Linked DNA regions of Saccharomyces cerevisiae S288C. The protein of the gene in region 2 purifies or fractionates together with the protein of the main gene of each other region. This does not show direct contact. Each region holds a gene or a part of one and is shown on either strand. Other genes may lie near its edges.

Region 1 (3,394 bases), on a different chromosome or scaffold from region 2:
TTCTTAGTATATATATACTGCTCAAGGGCAAATGCAATTACTTTGGAAATGCTTTCTTGTTCTGATACGTAAGAAGACAAGTAATCTCTGGACTAAAAGTGGAGCCGGAATAGAGACTCTCTTAGTATCAGTATCCACCTCTTCAAAGGATAATGCGTTCTTTGCCAATAGTCACATATTGTGGGTATGTGCGTTTTGCAAAGGCAGCAATATATTGTTTACTTATTTCCCAAAAAGGAAAAATCTTTAAACCATCCTAGAACTTCAATTCACCACGTTCAGGGTAATATATTTTAACCGCCGACGTTCTCGCCATAACTTTTAAACAGTGATAACTAGTATTGAAACTTAGAAGAGAAAAGGGTAAAGTTAATGCTTAATCTTGTCTTGGCTTAAAAAGTAATATGTACTTATTTACGTCTTCACAAAATCTAGCAGAAAAACGGTAGTATTTATGTATATTCAAAAAAAAATCATTATCCTCATCAAGATTGCTTTATTTAAGCCTTGGCAACATATTCGATCAAGTCAACAACTCTGGCGGAGTAACCGTATTCGTTATCGTACCAGGAAATCAACTTGACGAACTTTGGAGACAATTGGATACCAGCGGAGGCATCGAAGATGGAAGCGTGAGTGTCACCCAAGAAATCAGAGGAGACAACGGCATCTTCGGTGTAACCCAAAACACCCTTCATTGGACCTTCAGCGGCAGCCTTAACAGCCTTCTTGATTTGGTCGTAAGTAGCTTCCTTTTCCAACTTGACAGTCAAGTCAACAACGGAAACATCGACGGTTGGGACTCTGAAAGCCATACCGGTCAACTTACCTTGCAATTCTGGCAAGACCTTACCGACAGCCTTAGCAGCACCGGTAGAGGATGGGATAATGTTACCGGAAGCGGTTCTACCACCTCTCCAGTCCTTGTGGGATGGACCATCAACAGTCTTTTGAGTGGCGGTCATGGAGTGAACAGTGGTCATCAAACCTTCTTCAATACCGAAAGCATCGTTGATAACCTTGGCCAATGGAGCCAAACAGTTGGTGGTACAAGAAGCGTTGGAGACAATCTTCTTGTCTGGAGTGTATTTAGTGTGGTTAACACCAACAACAAACATTGGAGCAGAAGAAGATGGAGCAGTGATGACAACCTTCTTGGCACCAGCGTCAATGTGCTTTTGAGCGGTGTCCAATTCCTTGAAAACACCAGTGGAGTCAACAGCGACATCGATCTTTAGAGAACCCCATGGCAAGTTAGCTGGGTCTCTTTCTTGGTAGGTAGCGATCTTGACACCATCAATGATGATGTGCTTGTCGTCATGGGAAACAGTACCCTTGTATCTACCATGAGTAGAATCGTACTTGACCATGTAAGCAGCATAATCGTTAGAGATAAATGGATCGTTGACAGCAACAACCTCAATGTCTTTTCTTTGCAAAGCCAATCTCAAGACCAATCTACCGATTCTACCGAAACCGTTAATAGCAATTCTGATCATTTTGTTTTGTGTGTAAATTTAGTGAAGTACTGTTTTTTGTGTGTGTTGGTGAAATATCAAACCAAGTTCTTGATGAATTTCTTATTTATGCAAGAGAGAGAATAGAACTGTACTACAAATCTCATTGTGTGAAAATATATTGTCTATTTATATGATTTCGAGACTCCAGTTTTGGTCATTATCACCAAGCTCTTACTGCTACAGAGAATGAACATGCTCCTCCCCCCCTTCTTCAGACTATGTTGTTCTGCACGTGGATACCGTCGCATGCACCTAAGAAGCAGATGGTGGCTTGCCTTACTGTATTGTAAAGATCCAGTCTCCAGATCTGCGACCACTCCGAAGGTTGAAACCCGAGCTTCCTGTTTGCTGTCTCGCGCCTTTTAAAAAAAAAGCGCGATTATGGGCCGCTCGTGACAGTAAAGGAAGCAAGCAGATCGACCCCCTGAAAATGTGGTGTGGTTACTAAGCAGAAGCGTCTTCGTCGCATATCCTATTCCTAGCGCAACAAGGCCCCACGGTGTGGTTTCATGTGACGTGGAGTCATGTAGGCTTGTGGTGCGCACATTTTTACTAAGCTCAACAACCCTACTGGCGCTGCTGGAAGTGAATGGCGAGTAGATACTATCAAGTGTTGGCTGGTGGGACATATCAGCAACTAATGGATAGAATAAATTGGATCAGAAGCTCAGCCCAACTTATCCTCCATATGGTGATATAGAGTGTAAATGAGCATATACATTCGTTTCTTTTTCTCCTCCCATTAGTCTGGCCCTTTAGCATACAAGTCAACTGTAGTTTTCAGAAGCGGGCTTTTCTTGGTTTTTGTTATGTTACCTGTGAGAAACTAATCCATCGAGAAATTTACTCATTTTTTTTTTTACTCCAAGCTGCTTTTACTTAGCTAAACATAAAAAAAGATATTTCTTATGCATTAACTTGAAGAAAAATTGTTCCCTTGGACAACGCTGTGCTTTTCCGAAGCACTGTAAAAGGGAAGAAAACCATATGCTATTCCTCCTTTCGTAGAGAAAAAAAGTTTTAGCACTTGAGCTTCTTACTATATCGTATTTTACCTCTTGCTTGTTTAGTTCGTTATAACTTACGCAAAAGTCTTCTACTGAAATCTAGATATTGTTATGTATAACACTATAATGCCAAACGAAAAGTTAAATATCGAGATGTTGAAAGAACAGAGAACCACATCTTCACCTTATTTAAGGTCGAGCTTTTCTACCGGGTCCTGTACAATGTTATTTCTGATTGTTTAAAATATCTTCTGCCATCTTCATCGATAATAACCAAGCTCAAATAATTCTTGACGTTAAAGTAGTTGCAGCTCATATTGGGCGTCAGGTCATAGCCGCTCAAGAATAATCTTATGGGTATGGTTTCACCTTTCACTGAAGACCCATCCATTATTTCGTATCGGATAGCAGTGGAATCTGTCATTACATTAGAAGTTTGTAGGCCGGAAGATTCTCTTGTGATCAAGCTTAATTCCATATGTTTTATCCTTAGTCTCGTTAAAAGGAAATATATACGCCCCACAATGACTTCTTTTAAGCTGTACTGGGATTTGGCATATTCAAACTCAATGTGAAGGCAATTTTCTATACCTATATCCAATCTAACAGGCTTGGGCTCATTATTTGAATGTGATATCGGCAAAACTTGATTAACGTCTGCCGCCTCACCCTGGGTGCTCTTTGTTTGCGTGTTGTCACTCGCATTATCTGCAGCATAGTTACCACCAGCGATGTCATTAGTGGTTGCCTTTGTCTCATTTGCGGAAAGGGTATTTGGCGCAGTAGTTACACTATTATAAAGATAGACCCAAAATCTTTTTATTTTCGAGATGTCTGTGGACTTCCTCATAACTGTTACCTTAACAT
Region 2 (4,111 bases):
AAAGATGACCATTTTATATGACCCAACGTGGATATTTTGCTAATATATATGGTCTCATCTTCAGGTTTTTGGGAAGATGTAAATGAGGATAACAAGATGCGATGCTCATCCGAAGTGGTATCTAAATCAGGAAAGAACTGGCACGTTAAGGACGGCCACTTTGTTGAATTCGTGTTTAGGTAATCATAAAGTAGTTTAGTGTTTTTCTTCCAGTGCGAGTATCTTTCTTGCAAATCGATGGGTATACTGGAGGCTTCATGAGTTATGTCCTTCGCGCACTGATTCATCTTTGAAACTAAATTTGTATATTGTTTGTCAGAAATAGGACCTGATATCCTCCTTTTAAACAGTTGATGAGAACCTTTTTCGCAAGTTCAAGGTGCTCTAATTTTTAAAATTTTTACTTTTCGCGACACAATAAAGTCTTCACGACGCTAAACTATTAGTGCACATAATGTAGTTACTTGGACGCTGTTCAATAATGTATAAAATTTATTTCCTTTGCATTACGTACATTATATAACCAAATCTTAAAAATATAGAAATATGATATGTGTATAATAATATAAGCAAAATTTACGTATCTTTGCTTATAATATAGCTTTAATGTTCTTTAGGTATATATTTAAGAGCGATTTGTTCACATCCATTCCTTGAATTGATTGATTAAACCGTTGGTAGAAGCATCGTGGGTAGAAATGGTGGAGGAGTTGTCCAATTCCTTGCCGATGACTTTAGCCAAGACTTTACCCAATTCAACACCCCATTGGTCGAAAGAGTTGATATTCCAAATGGCACCTTCAGTGAAAGTAACATGTTCGTAGTAGGCAATCAAAGCACCCAAAGTAGCTGGAGTAATCTTTTGAGCCAAGATAGAGGTAGTTGGTCTGTTACCTGAGAAGACCTTGTGTGGGACCAAACCACCAGTGGCACCTTCAGCCTTAACTTGTTCTTCATCCTTACCAACCATTAAAGCTTCAGCTTGAGCAAAGAAGTTTGAAGCCAACATCTTTTGATGTAATTTGTTCTCAATTGGGTTATGAGATTGAGCAGCTAAGATGAAATCAGATGGAATCAACTTGGTACCTTGGTGAACCAATTGGAAGAAAGAGTGTTGAGCGTTGGTAGCTGGTTCACCAAACAAGATAGAACCAGTAGAGTAGTCAGTAAACACGTTACCTCTGGTAACAGACTTACCGTTAGATTCCATTGACAATTGTTGCAAGTAGGCTGGGAATCTGTGCAAGTATTGGTCGAATGGAGCAACCAAATGGGTTTGAGCACCAAAGAAGTTGTTGTACCAGACAGACAACAAACCACCCAACAATGGAATGTTGTCTTCCAATGGGGTTTGGGTGAAGTGGTTGTCGACGGCTTCAGCACCCTTCAAGAAAGCCTCAAAGTTGTCATAGCCAATGTACAAGGCAACAGACAAACCAATAGCCGACCAGACAGAGTAACGACCACCGACCCAACTTTCGAAACCAAACATGTTTTTGGTGTCAATACCGAACTTGGCAACTTCGGTTTCGTTAGTGGACAAAGCAGCGAAATGCTTAGCAATGTGAGATGGATCATTACCTGTCTTCGACAAGAACCAGTTCTTGGCAGTGTTAGCGTTAGTGATAGTTTCAGCGGTAGTGAAAGTCTTGGAAGCAATCAAAAACAAAGTAGTTTCTGGGTCAACAACCTTCAAGGTTTCAGCAATGTGAGTACCGTCAATGTTGGAAACGAAGTGGACATCCAAGACACCAGCGTAGTGCTTCAAAGCCTCAGTGACCATGACTGGACCCAAATCGGAACCACCAATACCGATGTTAACAACATCGGTGATCTTCTTACCGGTATAACCCTTCCATTCACCAGAACGAACTTGTTCAGAGAACTCCTTCATGTGCTTCAAGACAGAGTCGACTTCTGGAGCAACGTTGACACCATCAACGTACATTGGCTTGTTAGCTCTGTTTCTCAATGCGACGTGGTAGACAGCACGATCTTCAGTGGAGTTGATGTGTTCACCTTTGAACATAGCATCTCTCAAACCGGTGACGTTAGCCTCCTTGGCCAGTTCAATCAATGCAGCAATGATTTCATCGTTGACCAAGTTCTTTGAGTAGTCGAACAAGATTTTGGAACCATCATAGTTGGTGAAAGTCTTGTTCAATTTTTCAAAACGCTTGGCATCTTTTTGGAATTCTTGCTTGACAGACAAAGTCTTACCTTGAGATTCATAAATTTTTTGCAACTTAGACCAGGCTGGCAATTCAGTGGCCAGTTTGAAGTTAGTGAATGAGTTATTGGACATTTTTAGGCTGGTATCTTGATTCTAAATCGATTTTGCAAGACTAGAGGAATATGTATTAAAATTCACTGAATGCAAGTAAAATATTAAGTAAAAGAAAGCATTGATTATGAAGAAAGGACCTTTTTAAGATATGAGAACAATGAGAAAAGGAAAAATGGGACGAAACAAATAGGGAAAATTCCGTCTGTAAAACCAATTGTAGTAACAAAAAACGCTCATTTCAATAGCAAAAAAATAGAATACCGTCAATGGATATATATAGACACGGGACATTATAACAACGTGCAGATGGTGATGATTGCAAACCCAAAAAATTACCAGCTTCCTGTAATTCCAGGTTGAGCGCGTGGCTTCCTATAATCCAATACACCCACACCCACCCAGATCGTGATTTTTGTTACCATCCCGGTTCTTGCCTCATTGACATATTTTTCTGACGGTGACAGAACGTGGCCTTGTACACTCTTTTTTAATGTTACGCTGGCACAACATAGTTCAACGAAAAACGAATTAAGTTCTTACTTCCGTGTTTTAATCAGAAAACGATATTCCAATGAGAGATATAAGCGTAAGGTAGCATGTCCGATGGCAAAATTCTCTTTGCTTCCGCAGCGGGGCCAAAGTCTTACTCGCCTCTAACCCCACGTAGGACAAGTGCTGAGAATAAAATAGTCTTGGCGTAGTATGCCTTCTTCAGTAATATTTTTTCTTTTGAAAGTACTACCCACATCCGAACATTGCCACTTACATAGCGATGCAAATAGCCGCCAGGAAATGCCGCATGTTATCCACTAAGAATAGTCAACATTGCATAGCATCCAAATACGTGAAAGCGGACCGATCTTGAGCGAAATGTTTAGTACCGTTGATGTGTAGAAGTAGTGCCCTGAAATACATAGCGGTGTATTATTTAGCATTAACATACAAAAAAAAAATAACGGAGGCACCAATGGAAGTGGTGTCGCTACATTAGTTTTTAACTCAGTCAGAAAACTGAATTTAGTTGATATGGGACCGCTCCAAGGTAGGAGAATACTAGATCAAGTAAAGCAACCGCACTAGTGCCTTTTTCAAACAAGGTGGTTTGATGAGGAGGCTTTCTACAATCCTAGAAATATAAGACATCTGTCAGATTAGCCGCCGTTCATATGGTTTCAAAAGGTTGCGAATGGAGACAAACGTTCCTCGTCCCAAATTAGCCAGACGGAACAGGACAATAAAGGTGATAATGTAATCCATGACTTCCTCTATTTTAGACGGGACTTTTAGCATCCTCTAAATATTTTCAACCCATACATGTCATCAGCATCGGTGAACATCTTTAATAGTATCGACAACTTGGCTCACGTACTTCTCACCGTCAAGTGCGATTTCCGGGTCATGCAATACCTCGTCTGGTTCTTGATCTTTATTCGTGGCAGAATTATGCTGATCCTTATGAGGAGGGCTCCTCAGCTTGGCATACTTTAGTCGCTGATTTCTTTCCCTCATTAATCGCAGTAGTTGAGCGTGCGACTTGCGCATTTGCGTGAGATTGCTCTCAAAATCTCGTGGGAACCCGTCGTTGACGATAGGTTCTTTCGCCATCTTCTTCACATCATCCAGTGTATCGATTTCAGACCATGATACGTCTTGCGTCTCCGTAGGTGCCAGGTTTGAGTGCATTGTTATACGGCTACCATTTACGCTTCTTTCGTATGCAGTATTACCCCTACTAATGCTGGTCGTTAAGGGGTTTAGTGCTGGAGGCGTGGTTAGGTTTTTGGTCGGAAGTGCGTTGGAACTGCCCATTATAGAGGCAGTGGA

What was found. The genes of interacting proteins can lie anywhere in the genome.
Region 1: the proteins of PGI1 (region 2) and TDH1 purify together in Saccharomyces cerevisiae (affinity purification with mass spectrometry; 2 studies listed by BioGRID, with this or other methods). This does not show direct contact.

Annotation. Positions count from the first base shown.
Region 1 is NC_001142.9:336,376-339,769, reverse strand, and holds TDH1 (glyceraldehyde-3-phosphate dehydrogenase (phosphorylating) TDH1), read right to left. Parts: upstream 1,500-3,394; coding exon 501-1,499; downstream 1-500. Other genes in the region: YJL052C-A (uncharacterized protein), read left to right, coding at 1,767-1,886; retromer subunit PEP8, read right to left, coding at 2,733-3,394. UniProt on the Saccharomyces cerevisiae protein: Glyceraldehyde-3-phosphate dehydrogenase (GAPDH) involved in glycolysis and gluconeogenesis. Catalyzes the reaction of glyceraldehyde-3-phosphate to 1,3 bis-phosphoglycerate.
Region 2 is NC_001134.8:611,596-615,706, forward strand, and holds PGI1 (glucose-6-phosphate isomerase), read right to left. Parts: upstream 2,306-4,111; coding exon 641-2,305; downstream 1-640. Other genes in the region: MSI1 (Msi1p), read right to left, coding at 1-287; YBR196C-A (uncharacterized protein), read right to left, coding at 2,429-2,578; YBR196C-B (uncharacterized protein), read right to left, coding at 2,931-3,035; YBR197C (uncharacterized protein), read right to left, coding at 3,608-4,111. UniProt on the Saccharomyces cerevisiae protein: In the cytoplasm, catalyzes the conversion of glucose-6-phosphate to fructose-6-phosphate, the second step in glycolysis, and the reverse reaction during gluconeogenesis.